2 linked regions of the Notamacropus eugenii genome follow. The protein of the gene in region 2 purifies or fractionates together with the protein of the main gene of each other region. This does not show direct contact. Links are inferred from orthologs where the notes say so. Each region holds a gene or a part of one and is shown on either strand. Other genes may lie near its edges.

What was found.
Region 1: the proteins of ATP11A (region 2) and TMEM30A purify together in Homo sapiens (co-immunoprecipitation; 4 studies listed by BioGRID and IntAct, with this or other methods). This does not show direct contact. The link is inferred for Notamacropus eugenii from reciprocal best matches to the Homo sapiens genes ATP11A and TMEM30A.

The regions. Positions count from the first base shown.
Region 1 is NC_092873.1:145,184,782-145,200,664, forward strand, and holds the start of TMEM30A (cell cycle control protein 50A), read right to left. Parts: upstream 7,547-15,883; 5' UTR 7,408-7,546; coding exon 7,132-7,407; intron 7,020-7,131; exon of another isoform or gene 6,745-7,019; intron 1-6,744. UniProt on the Homo sapiens protein: Accessory component of a P4-ATPase flippase complex which catalyzes the hydrolysis of ATP coupled to the transport of aminophospholipids from the outer to the inner leaflet of various membranes and ensures the maintenance of asymmetric distribution of phospholipids.
Region 2 is NC_092877.1:208,822,975-208,839,530, forward strand, and holds the start of ATP11A (phospholipid-transporting ATPase IH), read right to left. Parts: upstream 8,581-16,556; 5' UTR 8,501-8,580; coding exon 8,450-8,500; intron 1-8,449. UniProt on the Homo sapiens protein: Catalytic component of a P4-ATPase flippase complex which catalyzes the hydrolysis of ATP coupled to the transport of aminophospholipids, phosphatidylserines (PS) and phosphatidylethanolamines (PE), from the outer to the inner leaflet of the plasma membrane.

The sequences.
Region 1 (15,883 bases), on a different chromosome or scaffold from region 2:
TACAACTAGCTCAAATATCAAGTCATCTACGAACAGAAATGAACTCTTTTTAGTAGAAAGGCTTAAGAAATTGTACCAGATGAATGTGATGAAATATTATTGTCCCATAGATATGATGAATATAAGGAATTCTGAGAAACATGGGATGGCATACGAATTGATACAGACAAGTAAATAGAAGCAGGAAAAACAATATACACAATGATGGATACAATGACAAAGAAGAACAGCTATGTAATTAATCACCAATGCAGGCCATAGAGAAGAGATGAGACAACAAAATAACACAATGGAAAGAACATTGGCTCTTCTCTTTTTGGACCTGAGTTCAAATTCTGCCTCTGCTTTTACTCTGAGGGGCAGCTGGGTGGCACAGTGGATTAAGTGGTGGATCTGCAGTCAAGAAGACTCATCTTCCTGAGTTCAAATCTGACCTCAGACACTTACTAGCTGTGTAATCCTGAGCACGTCACTTAAACCCTGTTTGCCTCAGTTCCTCATCTGTAAAATGAGCTGGAGAAGGAAACAGCAAACCACTCTACTATCTCTGCCAAGAAAACCCCAAATGGGGTCACAAAGAGTCCAACGTGACTGAGAAACAACTGAACTGAATTTACTGTGAGACCTGAGAAAAGTCACTTCACTTCAGCTACATCATACAATAAAAATGAAGATATTAGTCTAGATGGCTTCTGGGATCCCTCCCAGCTCTAGATCTATGACCCTTACAATAATCTTTTGTTAGAGAGGTGAGAAACTATGGGTTAATAATTTTGCATACACTGTCAAATAAGGTTAATATGTCAGATGGCTTTGCTTAACACAAGGGAAGGCTAACTGGTAGAGAGATGATATAAAAACAATAGTTACCAATAAGATTTGTTTTCAGAAAAGCAAGTTCTTGCTCTTTTCTAAACTCCAAAATCTTTACTTGTTTGGCATTTTACACTCTGCCTTATATTCCTAGAATTATAAAAGTTAGTAGGGATTTTACATATCACCTCATCCAACTTCCTATCTTTAATGCGTGAATTTCTTCAATATCTCTAATAAGTGAACACTTAGCCTATCTGAACACTTTGTACTATTAGTGGCAGACCCAGGAGCATGACATTTGACCAAATTTAAGCCTGAAAAGTTGGAAGTCAATCTATAAAAACAGACCTGAAGAAATCTTTACTCAATCCTACTAGCTCTCTTTAAGAGAAGGGGAAGGAAAGAACTGAGAGCAAACACTAGTGGCTAATAGTATACAGATATTACTTCAATATGAAAATCTGCCTCCTGGTAGAGACAACTATTTACAAGAAGTCATTTAAAATAATGAATAAATAATTTACAAAACAACAGGTCTCACCAATTTAATAACTATTTCTATCCTGGGGAGAAAACTGATAGCTAAAAAAATGCCTACAGTATGATATACTAGAAATAGTATTAGACAGTATATAAGAGCTCATTTCTGGTTTCTTCTGTACTAATAAATCACCATGAGCAAGGTATCTAAATTATCTGAATCACTATTTTCTCATCTATAAAATGAGGGGCTTGGACTAACATGGACTAGATGACTTATAATGTCCCTTCCCTTTATCTCACCAATATACTTATGTGCCCTGGACCAAGGACCATGTCTTATACTTTGTAGTATCTACAGTGCCTACATACACTGATGCTCACTACAAATTTACTAACTGATTAAAATCTCTTACAAATTTAATAGATCAACAACACCCTTACTCAAGTGGTGTACAGGGTTCTTCATCAGTTGAAACTTCAAGGATGGCTGGTTCTCCTAATGTCCATTTTGTAATGAATCTGTTGGATATAATACCTGTGAATGAAACAAGTTTTGTACTAAAGATAATGAGTCAGACCTTTTCTATTACAGTTAGAAAGAAAAAAGTACTTGGGGCAATAACAAGCACCAAGGAGTTCTAGGAGCAGCTTAGGTTCCATTATTTTAAAAAATTCATGCTTATTAAATGTCAAAAGAATGAAAGGTACAATGCAGCATACAATGACTGGCTAGTTACCTGCCAGGTAAGCTTAAGTCTTAAAGACAATAAACCAGAAGCAAAAGAGAACAACAGATGATGATGAATAGATTAGCTATGGGCTTATTGGGTTTCTCAGTTTTGTTTTCCTATCATTGCAAATGTTCCCCTAAATCAAACTGAACTGTTCTCCTTGGTAATTCTAAAAACATGTTCTATTTCCTAAGAGTATAAGACCAATGCTATGGAAAAGGTAGAATGAAAGACTATGCACTTTTTACACTGTACAGAAGTAGTGGAAAACTTCTATTTCTGAATGTAACTCAGCTCTAAAGGAGATCAATATAAGATCTGTATTAAGTAACTCAACAAAATGCTGAGTAACAAAGTATGTTACCAGTAGAATTAAGCACATTAATATCAAAATGGAATTCTATGTCCTATCTTAGAAAAACAATCCCATGAAAGTATTTTAGTGATGAATGGAAAAATGTTATTCTGTTTGAATGAACTATTTCTGGTTGATAAAATATGAAGTCATCAGAACACTAAATTTTAAGTTACTTGACCCCAAGCAGGTACTAATTTAGTCTTATAGTTTCTCCTACATATATATACAAGGCGATGTAACTCAAGCAGATTCAGAAAGTTAAAAAAAAATTACAATACTCTGAATTATATCTCATTTATAATCAACATTAGATTTAAATTTCTTTTTAAAAAGCAAGTGTCAGATTTAAGCAAAAAAAATTCAGAACACAGAAATGTCACAGAACTGTATTCAAAGATTTTCTTACATGTGTAAGAGTCTCACTCTGTGACCTTAATTTTCACTTTAAAATAATTTTGTCTAATTTTAAAGGATCAATTTCTACTAAATAACTTTTTCCTAAAACCCAGTCAAAAGCATTTCTTTAATGTCAATTATGCATAAAGCACTGCTTTAAAATACTTGTCAGTTAGAAATCTATTCTTATGATACTTAAAGAGAAATCTGTTTTTATGATACTTAAAGAGATTCTTAGGGACCAGACAGACAGACAGACGGACAGACACACAGACACACACACACACACAAACACACACACACACACCAGCAAAAAAGTATTGTTAAAAACAAGTGATAAAATAACCAGAGATACAAAAGAACCAATAATAAGAATCAGTGTTACAAGAAGAGAGAAAGAAGCATGTGATTCATTTGAGATCATGGAGGCAAGCCTACAAAAGTTATTAGAATCAGGTAGAACTAGTCCTCTAAGGCTAAATAGCTCTGAAGATAAAAAGGACCAAAGTTTAGGTTGTCAAAATGGTATCTTAATTCAGAATACCTTTTGAGGTTTTATAGGATCAGAGATTTAGAGCTGCAAGTGACCTTAGATATTTAGTCCTACCTCCTCACAAAGAAGAAGGTGAGGTCCAGAAAGGTTCACTGATTTGTACAAAGTGAAATAGGCAGCAAGTGGCAAAGATCAACTTCAAACCCAAGTCCTCTGACTCCAATCTCAGTACTCTTTCCACTACACCACAATTTACAAAAATAATCCTGCTTGATGTCTTTTTAATCTCATTACAGATAGTAACTTAAAACTGGACTACATTCCAGGGCATAACTATGTCCCAGTTAATATCTACATTAAATTCAAGAATACTCTCGCTTGGCCTCCTCCAAGTTAGCTCAATACAACTTACATTACAAATTCATTATTCTTGAGCCATAACTAATATTGAGGCCTTGGCCTTAAAAAAAATTACTTTTGTTTCAGAACATTTTAACTATTCCCCACTTATCATTATACACACTTCAAGAAAATACTAATTTATTCCCTGATGTATTTCAACAATTTGTGACATGATTAAACATTAAAAATGTTTTTAAAGAATTATACAAATTAAATTGAGTCTCATGCAAAGGGTATTGAAAAGTTATGTGGTAGGTGTAAGCAGAATACAAAAAGCACCAATCAGTAACTGTGTAAAGAGAAGCAGAGTAAAAGACAGCAAAGGATTTACTGGAGGATATGAACCTTGTTCATATCTGCATGGTTATTTAGAGTATCTACACACTGAGGAAAACACAGATCAATTGACAAACATACTTCAAAGTATGAAAGCAGATAAATTACAATAACACAATTCCTATTAATTTTATTTTATTTATACTAGGCAAATCTAAAAACACCACCAAACAAAAATAGACATATTTCATGGGAGAAATAAGCAGGCTGTCAGCTACAAGCATTAGAATATGGAAAGAACAAGCACCTTTTTCAGGAGTCCAAGGTAACCTATAGACAATTAATTACTCTTTTTGTAACATTCCTTGGTGGCAGATAATTATCAACTGATTTTATCTCAGACTTGAAAATCTGAAGCAGAATGCAAGAATATCCTAATCTTCAAATGAAACCCTTTATAAAAGTGCCAAAGTTTACTTTGCCTTGGTATGCTAGCGTAGTACAATGAAATGACGACAAAGAAATTGAGATATGGGGAAATAAATTTAAAAGGTGGTGGAGGCTTACGGTTTCTTAGTCATGACAAGAACTTCCTGTTACACAGCTGCATGAAAACACAACATACTTTGGGCTACATACTTGTTTAGGCAAATGTGAAACCCTGGGTATAACTGGCAGTGTTTGGGGAAATTATCTGGATTTTTATATGCTAAAGAGATAGTCATTTCTTCAAGTCTCCAAAAGTAACAAAATTTTAAAATAAGAATCTATAAAAGATCTAAAATTAGAATCAGAATATTAAAATTAAAAGAAATGTTAGAAATCATTTAGTTCAACTTTCTCATTCTACAAAACCAAAGCTAAAATTATAAAATTTCTCATATTGTAATAAAAGAAGCCTGGATTTGAAATGAGTAGATAGGGGTTCAAGTTCCAGCTCTGCTATTCACTATCGCTATTACCTATTTTCACTAATGTTGGTACTTCCTCTGTCCCTGATACACATAATTTCAGGAGTTTCTGAGACCAAGAATATTCATTACCAGAAGCTTGCCTAGCTGGTGATGAATTTTTTGACCCTAGGAACTACAATGTACCTCTATGAATTTATCTCCTCAGCCAAACACATAGAACTTGTGGTCTCACATGCCTTCTAGGATGCAATTAAACAAGAAAAAATTACAAACAAGAAAGCAGACACCTGTGCACTTTTTGATAAGGCATATACCAATTAAAAAAAAAAAAAGGAATAACCCTAAAAGCCCTACTAGAATACACATATAAGCCCCAAAGGACTATAAAGCTATTTGTACTCTTTTACAAAAACTGGATAAGGAAATAAAAGTAGTTTTAAAAAAACGGGCAGGGGAGGGATCAAAAAACTTCAGTATTCATCCCTCATCTTTTATTTTTGGGGTTTTGTTTTGGGCAGGCGATCAAAATTAAGTGACTTGTCCAGGGTCACACAGCTAGTAATTGTCTAAGGTCAATTTTGAGCTCAGATCCTCCTGATTCCAGGGCCAGTGCTCAATTCAACTGGCCACTTAGCTGCCCCCCATCCCTCTCCTTTTAAAAGTAACAAAATAGGCAGAGAGAAAATATATAGTTGCATAGAACATGGGGAGTAATGCAATTTATTTACTGGTAGAATGGAGATTCTAAAATGGTACTTTAACCTTATTTTTCCCAATACAGAGAGCCAGATGGAAAGACACAAGACAGTGCTCTATCTCCTTGCATCCAGTCTCTCCTCTCTCCAAATCCTCCTTCACGGTATAACTGCTAAATTGATACATCCAACTTACAGGTCTGACCAAGCCACTTCTCTTGTTAAAGAAGCTTCAGTAACACTCCACTGCCTTTAGGTCAAAATACAAGTTTCTCCACTAGACATTTAAAATCTTGCACAATCTAGCTCCAACCTAGTTTTCTGGCATTATTCAGATGACTCCCTTTCAAATATTCTACCTTCCAGTCAAATTGGCCCACTTGCCATTTTCCGTATCTTAATTCTTTGATTTACAGGTTATCTATTGGCCTCCCCCCTCCCCACTCCCCCATGCAATGTGCTGCAACCTCACTCATGCCTTTTGGAACCCCTACTTCCCTTCCAGGCTTAGCAACTGTCACCTCCTACAAAGCACCTCCTTATTCCCCCAACTGGTAGTGGCCCTGACATCACTGCACATTTTCAAATATATATCCTTTATTTATAAGGCAAAGACTATCTCACTTTTTTATTTATATCCTCAGCTCCTGGTACATAGTAGGCACTTAATAAAAGTTTATTGATTACTGTTTTCCAAGAAGCCATTAATGGAAGACTGGCTCTTGGCTGTCTGAAAATAACCCTGGCTTTCATCAATGCTGCTACCCTACCAACAAAAGTACAGTAGTCATCTCAGTGCTTTAAGATGATGCTCTCTCCCCACTCCAAGACCTGCCTTCTTTTTTTTTAATCTGCAGAACTGCTTAGACCACATCTCTGAGGATTATGATGAACAGGATTAGTAATAAGAGAACTAAATTACGATACAAAACGTTAAAAACCTTAAAACAGAAGTGACATTTCAAAGTTTGATTAACCTCATACTTTATAACTAAAAAGACCTGTTTATACCCAAACCTAGAGGTTATCTGTGTAATGCTCTTTCATGCACCGGCACCATCACCAATATCAACGTGTTTCTGATTCCTTTTCCCCACAATCCAGGGGCTAACCCTGCTGTCCACAAGCTCACAGCCAGGTAACTACACCGTAACATTTTAAATTCCCTCTGCCCGTCCAGCCAGCCATCCCTTGGCTTCACTTCCTGCAGGAAGGCTGTTAACAGCACCCTGCTGTCATGCAGAGAGACGAGTCAGCAAAGTGTCAAGATACACTTGTCATAATGAAGGGGCTTTCTCCCCCACCCCCTCCAAAGCCAAACCAAAACAACAAAACAAACAACCCCTCCACCGCTGCCCTCATCCGATCGTTATCCGCCTTAGTCACAGCCCGGAGGAAATCCCGGAAGACTCCAGAGCAAGATGGACAGCGCACCGGTCCCGAGAGCAAGGGCAGGTAAACAGACGCGGAGGCGGCCGAGGGCGGTGAGGGGGCAGCGGACACCTCGGGCTCCCACGGCCCCCTCGGGCTCCCACGGCCCCTGCCCCTCCGTCCTTCAGTCCCTCACCTCAAACTCGCGGATGTTGTTGGAGGTGACGAAAACGCCGATGCCGATGGGGATGAAGATGAGGCCGACGATGAAGAAGGCCGGCAGCACGGTGCCCGCGGTCAGGATGGGCTGCCAAGCCGGGAGCCGCTGCTGCTTGAAGGCCGTGTTGTCCGGCCGTCGGCTCTTCGGCCCGCCGCCCCCAATCGCATTCCCGGGCCCCGCATGGCTGCCCACCACCAGGCTCGACCCGTGCCCGCCGTCCACCTCGTCCTTAGCGTTATAGTTGATCGCCATCAACCCCTGGGGCCCGGCTCCCGGTCACGCGGAGGAGCCTCCGAGGGGACGCAGCCGCCGAATGTGACAGGAGACCGGGAGGGGGAGGAGGAGGAGGAGCAGCCGCCGCTGCTGTCGGGGCGGAAGGGGCGGGACGCCCTCGCGCGGGGGACCGCTGAACCGGAAACTGGCGTCAGCGGGGGGCGCCAGAGGAAGGGAAGGCGGAAGGGTGAAGAGGCGGAGGGGAGGGGCGGATGCGCGGTCTGGATAACCGTCCGCCTGGCGTCTCCGGGGAAGCTCGTACCCGCAGGAGAACTGACGGGCCGGGCTTGGCGCACGCGCAGCCGCCGGGCCCCTGCGCCTGAGTGACGCGCGACGCCCGCCTCCTAGTTTCCCTTACGGGTTTAACCTACGAGGTGCAGTTGTCCTGGAGTTACCTCCCAGCCTCCTAGGTTGTACCCGGAGATCGGAGAGGCCTAGATCTAGAACCTGAAGACCCTTTAGCAGTCAGCTAATCACAACAATCACCCCAACTCGTTTTACTAAAGCCCGGAGAGTGATTTGTGCAAGACCTCCCATCAGTGGCAGAGCTGGAATCGAACTCGGGACCTTGACGCACCTTCCGCTTTTGAAGGCCTGGAGAAACTACTGGGAAAGAATGTTGTTAACGCGTGTCCGACTCTGTGTCACCCCACGCGACCCCACGTTGGTGGGGTTTTCATGGTCTGCCATTTGACTCTGCCAGGCTCACGCACCACGTGTCTGAGGCCACATTGGAACGCGGGTGTTCCCGACTCCAGCTCCAGCTCCAGCGCTGTGCCCACCGAGCCACCCAGCAGCCTTTGTAAGGGAGGAGGAAGCTTTGGTTTTCCCAACGGGCCAGAAAGCCCAGGACCTTCCTTGGTAGACCCCCCCCCCCCCCCCCCCCCCCCCACCTCACTCAACTGCAGAAACATAAAATGCCTGAGCTTGAAACAGTATCAGCGTCAGACAGTATCAGACGATCCTGGCCTTCGGGTGGCTAGCGAGGAAACTTGTGTCCTGCGCAGGGGACCGGACTCGCTGGAAGTGGTCTCACTGAGTGGTCCCTTGGGGATTGTTGGAAAAACATTGCTATGGAACAGAACCCAGACTCAAAAGCAACAGTTTTTAACGAATCAACATTTCTGCCTGCTAATTTCCTCCTGAAAGCCACTTAGGATCTTCCCTCTTTGTTTCCCATTATGGAGTCATCCTATCTGGGACATAGCTGCTGGATGAAGGCGCTCTAACATCCACTCTGGGGATGACAGGAATTTTTGTTTGTTTTTCTTTGTCTAAGGAAGGCCAAGAAAGGGAAATGGAAGGAAGTGTGTGTGTTTGATAGTTGGCTGTTCTATATTTAAGTCAGTAGGATAGCCTGCGATTCTTTGGTGGGATTGGTTGGCCCTTGCAATTTTTAGTATTTCCTTAAAAGCGTGTTGTACTGAAACGTGGCAGCATCTATCACTGAAGTCAGTGAATGGTTTTACCCTACACTTGTTTTGATCTGTGCTGTTTTGACCTTGTCCATAGCTTTAGGTTTGGGAGGGAGGAAGCATGAAGCAAATAATCATTTATTTCTTTCTGTTAAATAACACGGTAAAAATGCATGCAATTATAAAGTGGATAGCAAATATCAGGAACAGTTTCTTCCAGTGTGGTACTGGCCTTCCTCACCCTCACTACAGAGTGGACTCAATGACCTCTAAGTGCCCTTCTAGCTCTAAATATATGGGTATGTGGGAAACAAGGAAGTTCTGGGTGATAAGAGTTGTAACTTAGTATGGTCAGGTTAGAGGTCAGAAGCTACTCCTAGTCTTTTATTTAAGAAAAGTGAGAAGGTCACTGGATGGCTAACAATGATTAGACCAGGTAGAGGCAGCTAGGTGGAGCAGTGGATAGAGTACCAGCCCTGGAGTCAGGAGGACCTGAATTCAAATCCAGCCTCAGACACTTTCTAGCTGTTTGGTTCCAAGCAAGTCACTAAATTGCCTCCAAACAACAACAAAAAATTAGACCAACAGGTTACAGTGAGTGCTGGATCTAATGACTAACCTAGATTTGAGTCCTGGATTTCTACCACCCCCTCTGTAACCTTGGGCAAGTCATTCTACCTGGTCGGCCTTAATTTCTTCATTTGTAAAATGAGGGAAGAAACAGGGTAGGGAGGAGATTTAACCAAATTCTGTCTGGGAATCAAAAGGCCTGTGTAGAAAGGGGAGGAATAACTTACGTAATTTGTGTGTATCCATAAAATAGGGATAATAATAGCACCTCTACCTCAAACAAAATAACAAAATGCTTTGCAAATCTTTGAAGCACTGTATAAATGCTAGATGTAATTTATACTATTTGTATTCTTTTGTAGATGAAATAAAAATTGTCCTATATTATTTTTTTAATAGTTTTAGAGGAGTTTGACCTTTTAAATGACATCTATGAAGACTTAAGCTATCAATCAAGTCATAGTCTGATATTTCCAGGAGAAAAAAGTGTTTATTAAGTACTTAGTGTAAATCACTGTGCTAAGGGAGAAACTTGAGTAGTATCAAAGGCCAAAGAATGGTTTTTGAGAAGCCAAAGAAATTTAATTTGGTCTTTAAAAATGCAGAGTACATGATTCTTGGCCACTAGGAAAGAAAAAAAGGGATAAAAAAATTCAACAGTTTAGGTTGAAAGCTTAGGAAAATAGGAACATGGAAGAAATCTGCTTTCTTTTTTTAGCATTTGACAAAATTATCATACTAAAAACACATTTGTTTGTTAGATTCTTTTGAAAAAGTTAAAAGATGTTTTATCCTTCACAACTAAATAATTCCCCACTGGAAATTAACTAAATGCTCCTTTATCTTAGTTGAAACTTTCAACCTATACTGTTGCCTCTTTTATTATCTTTCACCTTTCATATTGGCCCAGAACTCTACAAATTCTCCTAGAAATCTTAAATATTTGAGTAGTTCTTGATTTGCAAGAAAAGACCAGGATTATTTTTCTAATTAATTATGGAAGTCTCCGCCAACATCCCCCTACTTCCTTATCATAGCATGGAAGTGACCCTGGGTTCTCAAAAGCTATGTCAATAGGACATAAGCATTGTTTGTTCCAGCTATAAAAACTTTTGATTATGGTCCCAATGACAATGTCAAGAGGCAACTAGGCAGCCCAGTGGATAGAGTGCTGGCCTGGAGTCAGGAAGACCTAAGTTTAAATCCTACCTCAGACTCTGGGCAAGTCACTTAACCTCTGTTTGCCTTAATCCACTGTGGCAAGCCACAACCATAATTTTGCCAAGAAAACCCCATGGACAGTATAGTTCACAAGGTCACAAAGAGTCAGATACAACAACAACAACCAATGACGAACTCTTTGCTACCTTTCAAGCAGTCCAGCTAGATTTTGAAAGGTAAATCAACAGGTTAGCTACAAATTGATACATATTTTGGCTACAACAACACACAACTCTTTTGTTTTCCTTTTTTTTGTTGTTTTTTTCTTTTTCGTACTTTATCGATGACCTCTCCCCTTTTTCTTTTAACAACACTGCCTGCCAGTTCCCAATGATTCTCCCAATAACAAAACCATCTCTTGTAAGAAATAAGCACATTTAAGAAAAACAAATTAACATATTTGTCATATATGAAATTACATGACTTTTTCTACTCCTGCACTCTGCTATTTTTCTGTAAAAAGGGAAGAGACATATTTCACCATCATTCCTGAGGTCAAATTAGTTACTATGTTGTTCAAAGTTCTTAAGTTTTCAGTATTGTTGTCCTTTATATCAGTGTTGTCATTGTATAAATTGTCTCCTGGTCCTGCTTTCTTTGCCCTGTCAATTTATATAAGGCTTCTCAAGTTTCTCTGAAGTCTTCATATTTGTCATTTGTTATAGTAAAACATTGTTCTATTAAATTCATATATTACAGTTTGTTCAGCCATCATCCAGTTGATGGGCAGTTTTTTGCCACCACAAAAGTGCTACTATAAATATTTTTATACATAGAGAGCTTTCCTGTTGCCTTTGACTTCCATGATACATAGGCTTCACTTTGATATGTATGTACAATTTAGTGCTTTTTCTTAGTATAATTCCTAATGATATCCAAACAGGTCAGTTTACAACTCAGCTATCAATGAGTATCTTCCCATAACAACTCCAACATTTACCATTTTCTTCTTTTGTCATATTTACCAGTCTTATGGTACAAGATAAAAACCTCAAGGTTTAATATACATTTCTTCTATTATTAATGATAATGTAGCAATTTTGTAGGGCAATTAGATGGCACAGTGGATACAACAGTGGCGCTGGTCAGGAGGACCCGAGTTCAAATCCAACATCAGACACTTACTAGCTATATGACACAACCCTGTTTGCCCTAGTTCTTCTTCTATAAAGTGAGCTGAAGAATGAAACAGCAAACCGCTGTACTATCTCTGCCAAGAAAACCCCAAATGAAATCATGCAGACTATGAAATGACTTCACAACAAAAGAAGTATTTTTTCATATAGTTGATGGTAGTTTGCGTTTCTTCTTCTGAAAATTGTCTATTCAAGAGATTACTTCAAGATGGCAGAATAAATGAGAGCAGAAGAGCCCCACTCTCCTACTCCAGAAAGGATGAAAAATTAGCACCATACCAAATAATGATCAAGAAATCTAAAGAGAGATTGTGTTGCATTTTACAGCCTATGGTGACACAAAAGAGAAAATCAAAAGCAAAGGATTTTAGCAAGAAAAGTCCACTTCAAAATCACACTGAACAGAAGCTTTCCAAATCTGGAATATGTAGCTAAGTACCCAGGAACAGGGAGATAAGAACATGGATTTACTGGTTTAACCTACTAGATGCAATCTTTTCTGAGGTTACCTTCAAAGCTATATAGCAATATTACTCAGAACTCAGACTGAAGGTCAGGAACCTGCAAGGTTCAGATCAGGAAGGCAAAGATAAGGTCAAGCTATGGATTATCCTGGTATAGATTGCTGTCCCAAACTTCTAGATCTTCTTGAAGAACACAACGTAAGAGTCCCTGGAGGAAGCAGTGACAGAACCCTACAAAATGATCAGTACCAAATAAGACCCCACCATTGCTTCCAAAAGTATGCAGTCTGATTCTGACACAAAGTCTCAATTTAGGAGGTAGGACTGCAAAAATGAATAAACAAAAGAAAACCCTACTGATAAATATTGTATCTCCAGGAATACTGAAGCCACAAATTTAGAAAAAGAGAACTCCACACAATACACAATCTACAATGAAAACCTCAAGCAAAAATACAGTTTACTACAAGTTTTACAGAATTCCTGGGAAAAATGAAACAAGTTTAAAAATAATATAAATGAAAGCACTGGAAGAAAAAATAGGAAATTAAACGAGCCCAAACAAAATTATGATATGACAAAACAACTACCTAGTATCATATTTCAAGAAATCATGAATGAAAACTGCCTAGATCTACTGAAACCAGAGGGCAGTGTGAAAACAGAAAGTATCTACTATCACCTCCTGAAAAAAAAAAACATGAAAAATTCCCACAAATGTCAGAGCCAAAATCCAGAGCCACACAGTCAAAAATTCTACAGAAGTCAAGAAGCCAAAAAGAAAGAATTCAAGTATTGAGGAGAATAAGGATCACACAAGACTTGGCAGCTACACCTATAAAGGGTAGGGGATCTTAGAATATGCTATTCCATAAGACAAAAGATGAAGGTACAAAGGTTTACAATCAAGAATAACATTTTTGGAAAAACTGAATATATTCCTATGGGTTGGGGGGGAGGGGGGAACTAAACCTCTAATGAAATGGTGAACTTCTAATGATTTTTGATGAAAAGACCAGAGCTGAATAGATACTTGAAATGCAAAGAAAAAAGTCAAGAGAAACATAGAAAGGTAAATGCATTTGAACAATTGGAAGGGGTATATGATGAAATGTTTACATTATAGGGAGAAAAAAACAACAGGTGTTTCATTAGAACACTAATGCCATTAACTGTTATAAAGGAAGTAAGTAATATAAAGAACCTAGTTCTTTGTAGTTCCTTGTAAGCCAGTTACCAGGTCACACCATAAGAATTGCTTCTCTCTATGATATCTAAAGAAGCCAGGCTAGAACAGGACCAGTACTTTTGGGGCACTACTTTTACTGAGGCTCTTTAGGTTGTCTTGCCTGGGGTCTGAAGGGAGATGGTGGTTGAAATTGTGGCAGTGGTTTGACCTACATGGCACTTACTGCCTCTTGTTTCTCCCTCATTATACTCAGCAGGAAAATAGGTAGGGGCAAAGAAGGGCATGGAGCATTAAGCATAGACAGGAAGAGGTAGGAATTAGGTGGGAATTATAAGCAAAAGAAACTCATTTTCAGAGAGTTAATAGATAAGGGGTAAATGAAAATGGAAAAGCGTACTGAGACCTGTGATTGAGATCTTGACAAGGGGAAGAGGGAGTAGAATAAATGCAAATGGCATCTACTATAGATCATTGGTGTTACCACACTTCTCCCTCACCACTCTATTCTTCGTAAAGAATGTAGCAGAATGGATTGGAAAATAATCCAACAATACATTGTTTAAGAAACATACTTTAAATATTCATGCAGATTTAAATAAAGGGCTGGAGCAAAATCTGTTATGCTTTTGAAGAATTTTAAAAGCATGTCTGGTAGGAGGAAAATCCTAATTTCTCCCCTTTGTTACCTCCATGCAAGATGGGCTTTTTTTATTCCTTATGAGAAGCTGAAAATGCCTTAGAAACCTGATTGGGTCAGGATTCTAAAGGCTCAGACTCTTGACAACAGTTCTGGATATCTGAATACAAGGAACTCCAGACGTTCTGTTACTATGGTTGTTGTTCATCCTTCGTTCTCAGAGGCATTCTAGTGTTTGGCTGATGGACCAGGATGGGTAATGGACAGAAGAGCTTTGCTCTACTGAGTCCATTGTGTCATTCAATGCATATGTTTTTCAATATCCTTCAGCTATGAATAGGTAAATCTTTAGTTAATTACAGAATAACCCACGAGTGTCTCATTTCTTTCTGATACCAAACATAAACCACCAGGGTACTGGCCTGAGATAGTGGCAGCCTAGAACAACAGAGCTAGCAAATATGATCTCAGATAAAGCAACTTAATTAGAAGGGATAAAGAGGGAAATTACATCAGGCTTTAAGGCATGATAGACAATAAATTAATATCAATACTTAATATATGTTCACTAAATGGTATGTGTGTTTGTCCTTTGTTGCCGAAGAAGACCATGCCATCAGAGAAATAATGGCATGACTTGCACTTGACTTTGCTTTGAGTGAGGGAGGGCTGTGCAGGTCACCAGCCTCACTTCTCCTCCAAAGCCATCTGAATCCAGTAACCAGATATTCTTCAGGATGACTGGAGATGGACCAGGATGAGGCAATTGGGGTTAAGTGACTTGCCCAAGGTCATACAGCTGGTGAGTGTCAAGTGTTTGAGGTGAGATTTGAACCCAGGTCCTCCTGACTCCTGTGCTGGTGCTCTATCCACTGCGCCACCTAGCTGCCCCAAATGGCATGGCATCTAAATTCATAAGGAATAGTTAACCAATTCATAGGAAGAAAGAGACCTTTTTTTTGCATCTAGCATGCAAAAAAAAAAAATGTTAAGAACCTAAATAGAATTCTAGGAAAATTAAATATGATCTGTTTATCTATCTATACATATATGTCTGTATACATATATGTCTGTATACATATATATTTATATTAGATGGATGTGTTCAGATTCATATGGCTTTATAGGGTATATCTAGGGTATGTGTGTATGTATATGTGTGTATGTGTTTATAATCACATCTGGGTCAGGCCCCCAAAAAAACTGTGATTTCCATCTTGTGGAGAGCAAGGGGAGGGCTGTGGCTGGCTGGATGCTCCTTTACTCACACATCTCCATGGGAATATTGGGCTGTTATATCTATCTACCACACCTCAGATATTTGTAATTTCTTCTCTTTTAGGTACTAAGAATAAAATCCACTTTCCCTGATTGCTTCCTAGGGGAAGATAATAGCTTATTCTTGTCAGCTTTGCTCCCTCCCATGCCATGTAGGCAACCAAAAAAACTATTTCAGACTTATCTAAGCAAATAGTAAATGGAAATTGAGGAAGACATACAGATTAGAGCAGGTGCAGAGTAGATATACTCTTTGGGAATGAGATAAGGTGTTAGTTCAATCTAGGAAAGCTCATCAGGCAAGTCCATTCTTATCAGTCTCTAGGTTTGTAAGTCCTGGAAGTCAAGATTTATATTGGGAGGGAGTCAATATTCCCATTTGTATTCATCTGAGGTGATCTGTGATCATCATTCAAAAGTTTGCACCTTGTTTCTCCTCAACTCTGCTCCCATTAGGCAGCAGCCTGGCTTAGAGGTTTCTTAGGCAAGTAGGAGTCATGTCACTCTCTATATACACAGTATTCAGCATCACAAGAATGTCCTTT
Region 2 (16,556 bases):
ATACATATATATATATGTATGTATATGTGTGTCTGTGTGTGTGTTATCCAAGGATCAGTTAAGTCTTAAAGACATTTATCACCAGGCTAGCAAACCTGGGGGCCCTAACAATTCTTGAAGAACTTCTTGGTCGGAGGGACAGCAACATAACACATTAACCAAAGAAATGACAGGTGCTCAAATCATGGAAATACATGAGTATCTAACAAGCCGGATTCCATAATTCCGTTTTTGGCTACAGCGTAAACAGAATTAAAGTGTGTCTGGGGACAGAGGGACAGAGGGCAAGGCAGTGCCTAAAGTCTGCTCCACAGTGAGATGGGTGGCATAAACATTCGTGAATAATGGTCCTGAAATCTGACATTCTATCAGCTTGGTCTGCATTGAGCTCATTATGAAAAAGAATCATCTTACTCTTTGTCCTTGTAATACTCAACTCCTAGCACACTGTGCCTGGTATGGACTGGGTGCTTAAGAAATACCTACTGACTGATTGGTCATCTGGTACTAAGCTAGAAAGAAGGGAAATACATGCTAAAATGCCCTGATCCTTAGGAGGTTTGGGTCATGGCAGCAATGGTAAGCATACTTCTAGAACTTTCCCTGTTCTATCATACCTGCTCCTGACCTACTATCCTCGGGCTGCTAGGTAGGCAAACAAGAGCAAGGCCACTCACCAGAAGCAAAAGATGTAGGTACTTTGGGATTCTATTGGTGCTTACATTTGGAAAGAGGTGGGAATTAAAGGAGAGAGAGAGAGAGAGAGAGAGAGATAGTGTGAGTGTGTGTGTGTGTGTCTGTCTGTCTGTCTGTCTGGAGAGAGAGAGAATATGTAGGTGCTTACAACATGTGAAAAGAGGCAGGGATTAAGGTGGAATGGAAGGGGGTATGAGAAAGAAAGAAGAGAGAAAGAAAGAGAAGGAAGGAAGGAAGGAAGAGAGAGGGAGGGAGAAATAAAGAGAAAGGGAGATTCTATGTGTATTTACAACATTAGAAAAGAGGCAGGGATTAAGAGTGAATGGGGGGCTAGAAGGTATGTAAGAGAGGGAGAGAGAGAAAGAAGGAGAGATTGGTGCTTCCAGCTTTTGAAAGGAGGGATTAAGGGAGTCATGTGGGGGGGGGGGCACACCCTTCCCTTGCAGTGTAGACTTGCTCCAATGACCCAGATCAGGGGCCTCAGTTCAGTTGGAAATCAGGACCAATACCATTCTGCAGGAGCCAAGTAAAAATACCTTACGTTTCACAAACACTTTAAGGATTGCAAAGTGCTTTCTCCACAACAACCCCATAAAGGATTAGCACATTTACTTATTCCTATTTTCCACAGAAAGAAACTGAGTAGTCTTCAGGGGATGAAACGATTCCCCCAAAGTTACACAGTGAATTTCAGAACTGAGACTTGAACTCAATTCTCCCTTCTCCAATATGGACAGTCTTCCCTCTATATCATGGGCAGATCAAAGCAGAGAGCTGGCTGCACTGTGGCTCACTCAGCCCCATTTCCTACTTTTGGCTCCCAGTATGAGCCTTGATTCATTGGGAGGTCTCAGGGGGTTAGACTGGAGACTCAGTACTCAACTTCAAAGTGTACTCACTGGCAGAGCTAATGGCAGGCGGGGTCATTACACAGAGATTCCTCAACCACCTCCCTCCCCTCTTAACCCTCTCCAAGGAGGTTTCCTATTCACATGCTTTCTAGTGATGTCCACTATGACTCCACTGTCAACAAGCTAATGCTGCCCTAAGAAGCAGTCAGGAGTCTACAGGAGTCAGGAGACTATTCAACTATTTCGTGATATTTTCAGAGAAATGCAAATACTCAGTAGGGTAGAGGGGCTGGCAAAATGTTCAGTGTGGAGGTCACTGACTCTCCTGATGTCTACGTCTATGAAGTTGGGGAGCATTCATACTTTAAACCTACTACCCAACATAGCCAGTACAGGTTTCTTCTCTTGAATTACCATTTTTTCTGACCACACTCATCTCTAAATAGTCTGGCCCTGCTTTCCAGACCCAGCAGTCCTTTGTAGCCATCATCATTAGCAGCAACCCTTGAGGAATAGGGGGAGCAGCATGGAGTCCTGAGAGAGAGGAAAGGGCAGCATGTGCCAAGCAGGTCAAACCATCACCACCACCACCACCACCACCATCTCTAACATCTCCCCTAGACCCAAATGGAAACAGCCCAAAACCCTGTGCTTAATGGCTCTGGGAATATCACTTCCTCCTACCCCAAGATGACCAGTCCTTCTTCCAGTCTGCCCCTAAAGCCATCTAGTGAAACAGCCCTTGTGGAGAATGAGCCCACCATCTCTGCCACCACCACCACTAATGGCTGACCAACCACCAGCAATAAATAGTCAGGCAAGGCCAAGAGCACATAAAGAGCACAGCTTGCTAGACTATCAGCTCTGCTTCTAGCCCAGTCCTTAGAGTTCCAGGGAAGCAACTGCAGAGATAAGTCCAGATATCCTCTTATGCCTTAACAGTCAAAGCTGCTGAAGACTCTGAAAAGAAAGCTTTCACCCCAAATCCCTTGGGCATTATTATATGGTTCATCATCAGAAACAGATACAATTTTATCAATGGAAATGAAACTAAAAAGGATGAATTCCTTGCACTCTAAGAAAGATGGGGCCTTTCTATCTGACTTGCAACTAAAACCTCCATGTATTGTCTCTCTCATTAGATTATGAACTGTTAACTACACAGGCTTTTCTACTACAGGTATCCCTAGTGATTAGCACAGTGCTCTGCACATAGTAAACATTTAACGAATGCTTTTTTTTCATTCATTCGTCCACCTGCCTTTTTCTAAGTTAGGCTCACCTCATCCTAACTCCACTAATCTAGGCACTTGTGTCCTGCACTAACTGATCTGATAAGTGGTCATTTTCTCCAGTTTCTGACCAGTTAGTGTCCCTCAATAGCCAACAATGACTGAATAAAACAGGAAGGTGTGATATAACCCAGCTCGTGGCTTAAAAAACAAAATTGCTAATCCCTGGATTAACTGCCTGATTCTGTAGCCTCCTTCTCTCCCACAAGGTCTATAAAAGCACAGGCTCCCTAGCTCCTTCACTCAAATGTTATGAGCAGAGGATGAATGTACGAAAATGATTCTGCGTAGGCCAGCACACTTTTATAGGTGCACACAGAATTATTACTTTTAAATACAAAAGCCCATGTGCATATAGATTTGTCCATCTCCAATCTTATTAATAAATTTTCTTTTAAAAAAACTAAAGTATAATATATTTGATTAACAGTAGTCTTTCTCATTTATAATGACCATCTGGATTACCAAGAAGGGAAAATCAGATAGCAGTGTTTCCCCAAAACATAATTTTGGTAAATATTTAAATAGGAAGGGACCTAAAAGGCCATTAAATCCAACATCCTCGATTTACAGATGAGCAAACTAAGGCAAAGAAATATTAAGTGACTTATCCAGGGTCACCTAGGTAATAAGTATCTGTGGCAGAATTTGAATTCAAGTCTTTCTCTTAGCCACTATATTACTCAGCCTCCTCTTTCCACATCAATGATACATTAAGAGATTAGTAATTATTTTTTATTCTATGACAACTTAAAGAGTAGTAGTAAACTAAAGTTTTGTTCATTTGATTTTCCAAAAACCAGGAATTCCAAAAGTAAACCTAAATCAACTTTTCTATTACATTGACATATTCAGAACAGGCATTATTATTAGCAAGGTGCAACAAAGCACCAAAGATCACTTGACTGCGAGAAGTAACATAAAAGATCCCATCAATGAAACCTGAATGACCTGCAAAGGAAGTGGGCTTCACAAAGACAGACATTCTGCACTGGCACTTCTTGGTCAAAAAAATTTGCCACCCTACAGTCAATCCGACGGTCAGCATTTAGCAACATGAAAAGACAGCTGGGTGTCCCAGAAGTCATCTGGATTAGCCCATTAAAATTTCTGGGACACCATGAATCCCTTGGGACATATTAAAAGTCGTTCTCCTTTGGTCCAATCTGCCAGAGCCTGAAAAAGGATAAAAAGGTATGAAGGGTTTCAAAATCTATGCATGCCTCCTTAGACCAATAGTTCTTCATGTTTTTTGCACAATAGAGGCCGCCCTCTGACAGTCTGGTTAAGCCTATGGACTCTTTTCTTTCAGAAAGTCTTTAAATGAATTAAATAAAACACATGATTACAAAAAAAACTCAATTATACTGAAATGCAATTATCAAAATACTTCAGACTCCAGATTTGGAACCCTGGTCCTAGGGAAAACACTGAAGTGAAATATAAGCAAATAATTCAACTTAATCTATTTAGATACATAATTATTTTGAAACATCACATTAGTTTAGTATAAGTAATAAATAAATTCTTTAAAATGTTTTTAATACACAAAGCCAGAATGAAAGTCATAGGAAAAACATAAGATTTTATGACTCTGGGAATGTTCTTTGGACCTTAAACTGTTATCTTCTGTACCTGAAGTGTCTGGTCAAAAAGCTTAGTTTCATAAAACTTACTACGATATGGAAAGCAAATTGTTTGTAACTAATGAAAATCACATAAAAAAGTCACCCACAGGTTAAGGTTTACAGTATTGAAAAAAAAAAACTACAGTCCTGATAAGAGTGAAGCTGAGAAGAATAGGAGAAATACAAGGAGAAAATATGTATCTTCATTTAAAAAAATGAGGAAATAAGTTAGGAAAGGTAAGAAACACTGAGTGAAGGAGTGTGGGGGCTGTGAGGCAACATACAATGTCTGGGGTGGGGGGGATCCCATCTACTTCAGATTCAACAGGTAAACAGGTATGAATTATTTCACACAAACCAAATCTCAATTTAATAATAAAATACTAGCATTTGAAGGCTTCTTGAAGATCCACTCTAACCCCTTCAGCCTGCTTAAACTGTAGATCTTGATCCCTGAGTCCAACACCTTCATTTTAGAGAAGTTAATTGACTTGCCCAAGATAAAATCAGTAGCATTGCCAGGGTCAGCATTTCTGATCACTTTCAGTCTACTAAATGCCCCCATTATAGATATCCAATTATTTATTATGCATTTAATTACTGTACATGACAAGTGAATGTTATATATATTCAATGGGTGTGTAGCAACAGGTGTCACAAAGCATATTTACTGCTTTAAAAAAAACAATCTCTGTTGCTAAATGACTTCCAGACTTGGAGCACCTCAGAATTAGAAAGGAAGGCAAACAGGGAGAAGCATGGTGAGGGTAAGAAGACTGGAACATATAATAAAAAAGGAACTCAGAATTGGAGTAAAGGATTTCATTAGGAAAACATGATCAAAAAGGAGATGACAAGAGTGATGGATAACATCCATCCAATATTCTCTTTACTAGAGGAGAAATTGAGCAAGGCTTCCAATACAACAGGCAGACCTCCATAACAAATTTATGGGAAGACCCAGAAAACAGCTGCATGGGATTGACAGGTGTACTCACCTAAATGGATGACATCACATCATTTAAATATTTAAGGTAATCACAATCCCTATAACCCCTACTTCCCTGCCTCCACTTATCTATATTGGCATACAGAATCTTAGATTTAGCAGAGACATCACAAGACATCTAATCTAACCTTTACCCATAAAACATACTTGTCTATAGCGTCTTTCTAGTGCCTGTTCAGCCTCTTTAATCAAACACTTCCAGTGATGGGGACCTCATTACTCCACTAATGGCCAGTACACAAGTACAGCTTGTTCCTTTTGAAGGCACTTACAACTTTTAGAAAAGTGTTCCCTATGTTGCACTTAAATTTTCTTCCCTGTAACTCCCATTCACTAATTCTAATTCTACCTCAGAGGGCCACATCTCATCTCTTTCATTTGACAACCCAATTAATTTATGTATTTAAAGCAATACTCATCAAAATAGCAAGAAGCTTCTTCATAAAATTAGACAAAATTACACACAATTAAATTCAGAGAAGAAATATCAAGTATTACTCCAAAAAGAAAAGATGATAGAGATAGTCTTGTACATGATAGCTTTAAAACACATACCAGTTATTATTTAGCAAGTTATTATTTTTAATTATTTAGCAAACCTCTCTGGGCCTTATTTTCCTTATCTGCAAAAAAAAAAAATAAAAGGATCAGACTTTGACCTCTAGGGTTCCTTCCAACTCTAGATATTCAAAGACGACTACCATGCTCTCATGTGTATTCCCTCCCCCCTAAAGTCTCCTCTCTTCCTTGGATGATGTAATGGATATCCTGCTAGGCTTAGAGTCAGGAAGCTCCCACTTCTATAACTTACTAATTGTATGACCAAACCAAAGGTAAGTCACAACTTGTGTTTCAATTTCTTCATCTGTAGGATGGGGAAAGTGATACCTGTAAAACTTATCTCACAGGCTGATTCAAATAATGTATGTTAAGGGCTTTGCAGACCTTAAAGCTATTATAATGTATAATTATCATTATTATTGTTGAGATGACTATTATTGTGGTTTCTAGTTTCTTTACCATCCTGACTACCTTTTCCTGCAAACACTTCAGTTAGTCAATGTTCCTCGCAAATGTCAGGCTCATAGAGGGACAGAACCTCCTAGATGTTGTATGACCAAGGAAGGTACAGTGAGATTGCCACCTTCTCAGAGGAACAAGAGTCACCTTTCAAAATGATTTGTCTGTAATGTTTGTACAACTGGAACTAACTTTTAAAGCAGCATCTAGAACTGCCAGGAACTTCCTGCATGACCTCTAAAGAACCATTTCCCTATCCCTGGGCCTCATTTTACTCACCTGCCAAATGTCAGTGGAACTAGAGGATCTCAAAGACCCCTTCCACTTCTATCAGCCCATGCTTCTTTAGCTCTAAGTTACAGACATTCCTATCACTTTCTTTTTTCAATATTTTCAATGAAAAAACGAGTAATTCTACTCTGAAAGGAAATCATAAGATAAATTTAGTGGGCAGGCCCTGTTTCTACTTTCCCAGAATTAAAGGTAAAAACTACCTTCAATCAATAACTGCACCTTCTGAAAGAGGCACATCTTAGCTCCAGAAAACAAAAAAAACACAAAATTTAAAACACCCTCTTTTTACCTAGTTTTTTCTCATATTTCTCTGACTTCAGTGTATATCATGAGACTTAAAGATACATGATGGACCATGTACATACAGTAGGAAGGAGGAGGATGGATTGCCCTCAGAATTTGTCGGTTCATTCTCCTTATGCTGAGCTATATACTGTAGCTTAAATTAGTTACTACAGGCACCAAAAAATTTTGCATCTTCCTACGGGTTTGAAGTAATGCAAAGCCAACATTTTAAAAAAGTGAGCTAAAAGCATCCTCTCCTCATCTCATGCACTTGTTCACTATAGAAATAGACTTGCTAGTCTCCTGCTGGTGGCATTCCAAAGGAACCTGAGAACCCCAGGGGGCATCTTATCTGATCGGTTCACTTTCAGAAAGAAAACCGGCTCTTTGGAATCAGAAAAGAAACATTGTTAGTGTCTTTGAAATTACTACGCTTTTGTTACATTTTAACACCTTCACCACCACCCCCAGTCCTAGTTTTCCAGGCAGAAAGCAAAGTGTTTTAGCAGAACCTAAAACCCCTTCTCCAAACTGTTCCTTCCACCCTAATCCCACTTTAATTAGGTTCATAGGAGTTTGGGGGCGGGGGGGGGGGGGCGAAATTAATCATGCAGGTAGGAGATGCCTTGCAAATAAAGTTCATAGCCATACCACGAATACCCTTCCTCCTCCCCCTCTGAGAAGATATTTAGGGGTTTCTTTTTCTTAAATCATCAGAACTACTAGTTGCAGTGGGGAAACCAAGGCGGGGGGTGCGGGGGGTGGCGAAGTGATGCAGTTGTTTGCAGAGGGCACAAAAAATCAAAGGAGAAGTCGCAGGGAGGGACGAAAATATTAAAATGAAAAACCCCTGGCCAAGAAGAAATAGACCAGAGAAAGGGGTAGGCGGGGAGAACCCCTGGACAAGATGAAATAGACCTGGGGGAGAGGCCGGGGAGTAGAACCTTCTCCCAGTCACCGGGCCCTGTCTGGATCCCTAAGGAGAGTTGAGGGGCCTCAGGGCCCTCCCCTTCCCAACAACCTACTTTATCCCTAGTTCGGGGGTAAAGTGCCCAGCAAAGAAGCCAGTCTCGAGTCACATGATTACCCAATCCCACGTTGGAAACAATCGGGTCTTGGGGCCGGGCCCTAGGATGAGGACGGGAGGGTGGAAAACAACCAGGGATTAGCCCCATTCCGTCCATCCAAGGATGCAGACTCGGGCACAGCACTTTCCCCGGTGCAAAGAAAAGGGTCCTGTCCCTGTAAACGTAGGGTCCCGGGCTCAGGGATGCAAAAGGTGTCTCACTCTGCTCGCTAAGCCCCGAACTTTTATTCGCTCCTTCTACTTCCCCCTCCCGCCCGAGGGGCTCCCCGCGGGGGTCGGGCACTCACGTATCGGTTGATGAGAGTCCGGATGAAGCTGCAGTCTATGGTTCCTGCCATGGTACCTGCGGGATGAAGCCCCCCGCGCCGGCGCAGCTCCTCGCTCCCCTAGGCGAGCCTCAGCTCGGGGTCGCCTTATCTCTCCCTACTCCTCCTCGGCACGGCCATGGACTTGCTGCTACATCGGTCTCCGGAGCTGACAAGAGGCGAGCGCACGCGCCCAGCCCGGGGCCCCCGTCAGGCTCCGCTGGGCTCCCTCGCTGCCTGGCCGCCTGCCTCCTTCGCTCTTCTCTCGGGTCTCCCGCCTCAATCACGCCCGCAGCAGCTCAGGCTGCCAGCCGGGGGGCGCACGGGGCACTCGCGGGGCGGCACCTCCCGGCTCATGCCCTCCTTCCCGGCCCTGTCCCGAGCCCTGGGCAGAGCGCGGCCACCTGGCTGCTCCCAGGGCACTGCACGGAGTGGGGAAGCCCAGGAGAAGGAATGGTTTTGGTGGGGATGGGGGGAGGTGGGTCTGCTGTAGGTGGTTGGCTCGTTCGCTTTCTCTTGCCACCCCCTCACCCTCCCCAGGCTGGAATCGGCTTTTCTCTCGGGAGGGCTGCCGGGAGGAGTCTCCTCCTCCCGCCTCGGGCGACCCTGGTCGGGGTTCTGCTCTCTTCCCTCCCGAGCTCGCAGTGGCTATCCGTTCGGGCTCTTCAGCCCAGCCCAGGCTCTCCGCTCACCTCCCCCTCCAAGAGCTTGGGCTCTTTGATCCTTCCCAGGCAATTCTGGCGGCGAACGTCACGACCCGCGTGTGAGCATGCGCCCCAAAAGCTACACGCCTCCTCCCGCTCCCCCTGCCCCGCAACACACACACACACGCATACAGACACACACATACACACACACGCGCACACACACACACGCACCGAGACTGCCCAGGCGCGCGCGCGCGGTCACGGACCATCAGGTCTCCCCTTTTCCTCCGGGGTTCCTCCTCCTCCTCTTAGAGGAGGCTCCTTATTTCGCAGTCCTTCCACCGCCTCTCCAGAAGCACATCCCCAGTAGTTTTACCCAATGCCTTCCTTCCCTCCCCGCGGCCTCTTCGCCGAATTCACACAGAAATTGGCGAGTTTCTGCATTGGAATGGGAAGGCGGAGTGGACGCGCAGGAGGGAAGCGGGAACACGGAGAGTCAGAGCGCAACCCCGGGCCTTGCCAGGCCACGGAGGAGGACGAGGCGCGGAGCCTTAACTTGGGAAGGCAACAGGCCCAAGGGCGCCTCACGAGGCTGGCCAGCCTAGGAGATCTAGGCAGCAGCTCTCCCCGGCCTCACCCTGTTGCTACCAGAAGCCCGGGGCATGAGTGGGAAGGATGGGGTTGGAGGAGAGAGAGCTGAGAGAGGTTTTTAGTTTGTTTGGAAGTTTATACCCATTGCACTTTGTGAGCGTGTTTACAAACAGAGGTGGGCCTGGGTATAAAGTACCCCGACTGTTTCTAGGTGAAAGCTTAAGGGAGCATCTGAGCTTGCCCTCGGATAGCGTGATAGAGGCAGGCTTCCCTTGTAACTGTGGCGTCTATCGTTCCTTCTCGTTGTGATCAACAACCATAGAACCTGGGCACTTTTATTCCCTATCCTCTTCCTCTAAGGGAAATGAGGTTGAATCGAGGAAGAAAGGTCAAGTAGCCTGTGGCTGAAAACGGCGGTGCCAGGGGATGGAGAAGGAATGAATCCCCAGGTACGCAGGCTTGGGACGCTGCCGGTGCTGATGCTGTTGCAAGGGCTCTACGTTTCTTCACGTGCACCTACCTCCCAGGGGAGCGCTCTCCCCAATCACCCCACTATCTGTGATTGTGTCTAAGGTGACTTCACAGCGTAGTGTAGCGGACAGCGGGGGAAATGGAACTCGCCAAGGCTGCTGAGATCCAGGAAACAGCAAAGGAGATGCGTTGCCTAGGATCCCAGCCTGCTGGGGCTCGGTTTCTGGGCTGCTCTTGCAATTCTCAGGCTAAGGGGGGTCGGGGGCAGAGACAAAGCTGCGGCAGCTAGCTGTGAGACCCTAGCTCCCAGAAGGGAGACGCTAATAGCCCGGGGCTTTTCTGTTCCCAGTTCCTTCGGGAGTGGGGTTGTTTGGTCTGTGCAGTGGTATACACTGAGCGTAAGGAAATTTAGCACTTAAGGATATTTGGAGAAAGATCAAGGCCAAGCGCCAGTCCCTCCCACTTCACAGATGGGAAAACAGCGGCAGCTCTGTTCGTAAAGTGACTCGCCCAAAGTCATATAGCTAATTAGCAGTAGTCTAAAAACGAGAAGTCAGATTTCTTGACCCAAAGAACAAGCCTGTAATTGATTTGTATCCCTGAGACCCAACTGATTACCTGGAATCCTCTATTTAACTCTGCTTCTCAGGCCTCTGGAAATATTTTCCATTACGCTTTCTGGGGAGGGAAAGCGGGGGGGTTTAGGGGAGAAGGGGAGTGTTGGGGGGGAGGGAAAGAGGTGGAGAATGAAGGACGGGTTAAGAATAAATCCTTTACCAAACTTCAACTCCTTCCCTCAGTACTTAGGCTAATCCCTCCCACCCCAATTAGAGGGGCACTCAATCAGTATGTCAGCCCTCCAACCCAAAAGGCAAGCCGCTCCATGGCAAAGACCCAAGTGGTGGACAAAATATCCATCCATATGGATCTGTATGTCCCGGAATGCAGGGCGGGGTGAGTTTGGGAGAAAAGAGGGAAGTCGGATTTTACGTTCTTTTTAGCTCCTGGCATGTACAATTTATACAAGGAGCGGGGGGGGGGGGGGGGGGGGGGGGGGGGGGAGTATTGACTGGGAAATCATGCTACCTGGACCTTGTTGCCAGCTGTGCCTTTAAATGTGTCTTTGGGTCTCAGTTTCCTCCTCTGTTAAAAAGAAGGTTGTTCTAGATAATCCCTAACATCCCTTATAGCTCTAGAAGTACGCTATAAAACAGGATGACAATTTGAAGTTTTCAGTATTGATTTCATTGGCTAAAGTCAGAGTGCATAGCATCCCCTTAATTATCCACCACAATTCAATCTTGATATGTTAAAAAAAATTTTTTCTTCTAGCTCTTGTTGATGGTCATTTGTGACACATGAAAAAAGGAGAGAAGAGTATTAGATTGAATTTTGTTTGCTTGCTTTTAAAATGCCTTCAATTTCTGAAATGCTTAACAGAAGTCACGCAAACAAATAATTCCCACAAAGCTGTTCTTGAATGCTTATTTTGTGGTTTGCTGTCCTCCATTTTAACAATACTGAAAAATTTTACTAATTTTGGGAAAAGTAAGTCTGAATTAATGAAAAGTCCATTGGTTAATTTTGTTTTTTAGCAGAAGTGCAATTTTATTGCTTTCAGGAATAGATTACTCAAAACTAGCTTTATTATTTATTAGGTTAGCATAGGAACTTGCTTTAAGGAATTAATAGGAAAGAATTATAATTAGCATCAATTATGGCTAAATAGGTTCTGCCTTTTGAGTTTGTGAAAAGGATTAATTAGCTAAAGTATTTTAAATATCCTCCCAGCAAACTTGTCTACACTTGCCAAAGACAAACTTGAGTCCCTGTCTAAATTATGGCCAATTCTGGATTGAAATCATTGAATTTTAGAGCTGGAAAAGGCCCGAGACATCATTTAGTATATCTCCTTCACTTTACAGTTAAGACAGTTGTAGCCCAGGAACTTGCCCAGAGTTAAATATAACTAGCTAGTGGCAAAGGGAGTACTAACCTAATCTAAGTTTTGTGGTTCTTCCTGTGCCTTCTATGAGAACATAATCTCTCTACTATATAACAGAATAATTCTTTCATATCACATCATCATTATAGCTCATCCTTATATAGAGCCAGTTTTGCAAAGCTTATTTACATACATTGTCTTTCCTAAGAGCAGAAGCTGAAAAAAGACAAAAATTTAAAAAAAAATTCTCTCAAAGCCTGATCCCTTAATTCTTACCTGAAACTTTTTCCACTATACTACATTGCCTCTCGTTCTTTGCCTTTTTCTCTAATTATTTATGGGTGTGTTTCTGTCTCTTCATCTAGATCGTAAACTTCTATGGGTACATAAACCATGAAATTTACCTCTTTCATATGCATGTTTTTTAAAAATCTGGACTTACAATTTCATCCTGTAAAGAACTATAGGAGTAGAGACTCCATCAATGCAGCTTATATACTATAACATAGTATTAGAGAGCTGCTTCTGGCATTGAGAGGGTAAGTAATTTGCCCCAGGGTCATTCATATCCTAGGAGTCTGAGGCAAAACTTGAAAGCAGTTCTTTCTTATTCAAAGGCTAATCTTATATCCTCTACATCTGCATCATTGGTAGATATTATATGTTCAATGAGTATTTTATTATATTTGTATTTGATTGATATTTGATTATATATGTATACTTATTTTATATATTATTGATTATTTATTGATTTATTGATACAACGACTAAGATAACAGAGGCACTAGACTTGGAATCAGAGAACTTGGACTCAAATCCCACTCTATGAGTTACTGCTGTGACCTTGAGGAAATTAACTTCTCTGGGCCTGTTTTTTCATCTGTTAAATGAGGGAGATGGACTCTATGAACTCTATATCCTTCCAACTCTACATCTGTGATATGATGAATTCCATTTTACAAATGATGAATTGAAACATAAAAAAAGGTTCAGTACCTTCCCTACAGCCAAATACGTTACTCCTGACAGAAAGGGTTTCTAGTTTCCCTGACTTTTAGTCCAATTGTTTTTTTCACTGTGTGAAAACAGAGCCATTGTTCATTAAGACTTCACTAATAATAATCAATGGTTCTATGATGTCTGTATGGGTTAGGACAAGCTATGTATATATGCCCTGAGGTTTGCTGATTTGAACTTCCAGAACTGCCAACAAATTGTTTTGTATATAATGTGCACTCAGCTCTTTGTGGAATGAGATTAAAAAAGGGAAAGAAGTCAAGGCACTATGAAGCCTTGGACTCATAGATATCTTTCTTGAGTCCTCAAATTGCGAGTACCCCAAACCCTGCCACCAACCAGTCAAATCTCTGTGTTTCATATATTGTTCAAAGAAATCTAGGTTGTGGCCTTGCCCAAATCAATTGAGGCAAACTCAAAGTAAGACCAGGATTTTACTCATACACCAAGGCAGGACACTCTGGTAGCCTGACCAGATTTCATCTGTGTTCTGCTTTTTATGGACAGGAGTAAACAATTTCCATACAATAGAAAGACAGTCTTGACTGATGCACATAATCTATGAAGAGATAGGATTAGGGTCACTTTAGCCCCACCCTTATTACAGTATCACAGGGAAATGGATTAAAGGAGCATGCTCACTACCGTCTACAGCAGCTGCCATGTACTCAAACTTATAAACAATGTTTTAAACTGGAGTCTCCCAGACTGACTCAACACAGTGGCTGATTTCCCACAGTATATTCTGTATGTACTTATATGTGAACATATTGTATCCCTGTTTCACCACCACCACCCCCAGGAGAATTTAAGCTCTTTTAGGGAAGGAACTATTTCATTCTTAGATTTATTTACCTGCTAAAGTAAATGTTTGTTGACTAACTGAGTTATAGGTGGGAAAGTTCTTTGCCAATTTCAATTGTGACATCTCAATTAGTGCGAATAATACTTTGAAATGGTTGAATGTATTCAAATTTATACATCTGTATAATTATGTAAAATAGGGTAATTATTCCCAGCACAGTGGAAATATGCAGTGTAAAATCAAATGCAGTCATTTCTCAGGATTTATTATTTGAACTAATCAGACCCTGTATAAAAATGGTTCATGTCCATATCATACTTTTATTTTTTTTAATGAATCTTCCATCTTGTCAATGTGGGTACTCTTTTCCCAACCCGTCCATACCCTATGAATCCTATGTGACTCTTGTCCATGTTTTTCCATAAATTCTGCACTGTGCTTGACTCTTTCCTCAGTGTTCTGTGGATACCAATGGAATACTCAGGCCATCCATTAAGTATCCTCCATCTCATTCTATAACTGGCTCACTTTCTTTTCTTGTCATTCATCTGATGGCATCCTTGATTCCATTTCTCTTGTGCAATTCATTGTTCTTAAACTATTTCAGTATAATATACTCGTCAGGTACCTCTCCATTGTGCTTTGGGTGGTTTGAAACCTTAATTCTACAGAAACTGTGGTATTCAATGATTCAGAGACATACTTTGGCGTTGGAAAAATATTTCTTTTTAAAAAGATAGGGCTTTGTTTTAGGGAAAAGCTTATAGTCTATAAAAGTACTATATAATTTCCTAAAGAGAATCTAGTCCATATTATACTGGAGAGGATTTTGGTATGGCAAATAAAAACTCATGAGTGAGTCTATGGGGAAGAACAATTGAAGTAACTGGAATCATATTTCTGAGAAATAGTTGTCTAGATGATAGCCATATAGCATCATGTTTTGAATATCAACTGTATGCAGAACTTTGTACCAAAAGAAGCAATTTCCTCATGCTATATAAATGATCTTTATGGTGGAGAAGATGATGATGAAGAAGAATTACATTTTATAAAGTACTTTCAGTAAAGAAAATCAAATGCAGCTCACCAAAAATTCATTTCTAATGCAATGTAGCATGTCAATCAAAAACTCAACTGACTTTACTAGTGACTACAATTCATCAAATCATTTCTTGTGAAACAAGTCATGGCTAATCATGGATTCTTTACTTCCTGCAAGGAATTTACTTGCAAGGGCATTTAAGTTCCTTTCAAAAAGTTCCCTAAACACAGGCTTCACAGAAGTGCCAATCCAATTGAGCAAGTAGCACTTCATTCAATTTCTTAATCCCAGATATCTGGACACTTTGAACCCTACATGTTTAATTCCAAACTACTGACGGAAGTTGATTCTTTAAACACTACAATGTTGAGTGGAATTTTGCCACTAAAATAATTAGAAAGAACTCTTTTGCAAAAGTAGAAAGACTATGGATATGTTGTAATATTACATGTAACATCAACTTTTTTTACATGCTGATTAGTTTTATAAGTTTTTTATTTCTCTTTTAACAAAATTCATTATTATAAGGGATGGCTCAAGGAAGGACACAGTGGGACATGTAAATGATGGTAAATGACAATATATTTTTTAAAAAGCATTAGTAAAAAGAAGAAAAGAAAAAAACCTAAGGTAACTTGTGTCATGAATCCATCATGTGGGCCAATCTTTTTGTATGTACTGTTTTTGCTTCTGCAGAAAATGCTAATAATTTCTTTGACTAGAGATTTTAGACTTGCTTTTTCTCTGTCCATCTCATCTTTTCCATCTTTGAAAAATTTTCTTCCCTCAGGTATTCAACCTCAGGTTGGGTATGAGTCACAGGAATGAGTCAGGAATTGCAAGTGTTTTCCTAAAACAATACAATATTCATTATGCAAATAAGGTCACAGGAAACTTTTTTCTTCTGTTTCATATTGTGGAGTTGTCTGTCCCAAAATGAGCTGAGTGAGAATTTACTCTGACTGTAGGCTTTTCCGTTTCTTTAAAACTTTTTATTTAGTGAGGAAACATCAGAGACAAATCTGATTAAAACTTTTTTTTCCCTTTCTCTCATCTTTTTACCTTTTTTTATACTAGCCTCTCCTTGTCAAATAGGAACACTGTTTTTACCACTGTAAACCATTGCTTTCAATTTCAGTTGCTCATTAGAAAAAAAAACCCTGAAGTTCTCTCATCATTAGAATTAAAAACAAACTAACAAAAAAGAGCCCGCTGCTCATTTTGAGTTGAAAATATTTTTTAAATACAATATTACTCCTACTCTTCATACAAAATAAAAATGATAGGGCATCTAAAATTTTAGTCTGATGATGGCAAGCAATTCATTTATATTCTCTTTTGAATTTTATGACAATAAAGACACATTAACATTATATGTATAAAGTGTTTTGGTGCAGGAAGGAAAGACAAAGGCCACCAGCCCCACCCCACCTCTGAAGTGGGTCTACATAAAGTTCAGGGTGACCTATGTGGCCTTGAATGTAAAGGTCAGGAGTGTAATATGATAAAAGTTGGAAAGTATTTACTCACCCAAATGTCAAGTAGACCTGGAAGAACTCCTGCTGAAG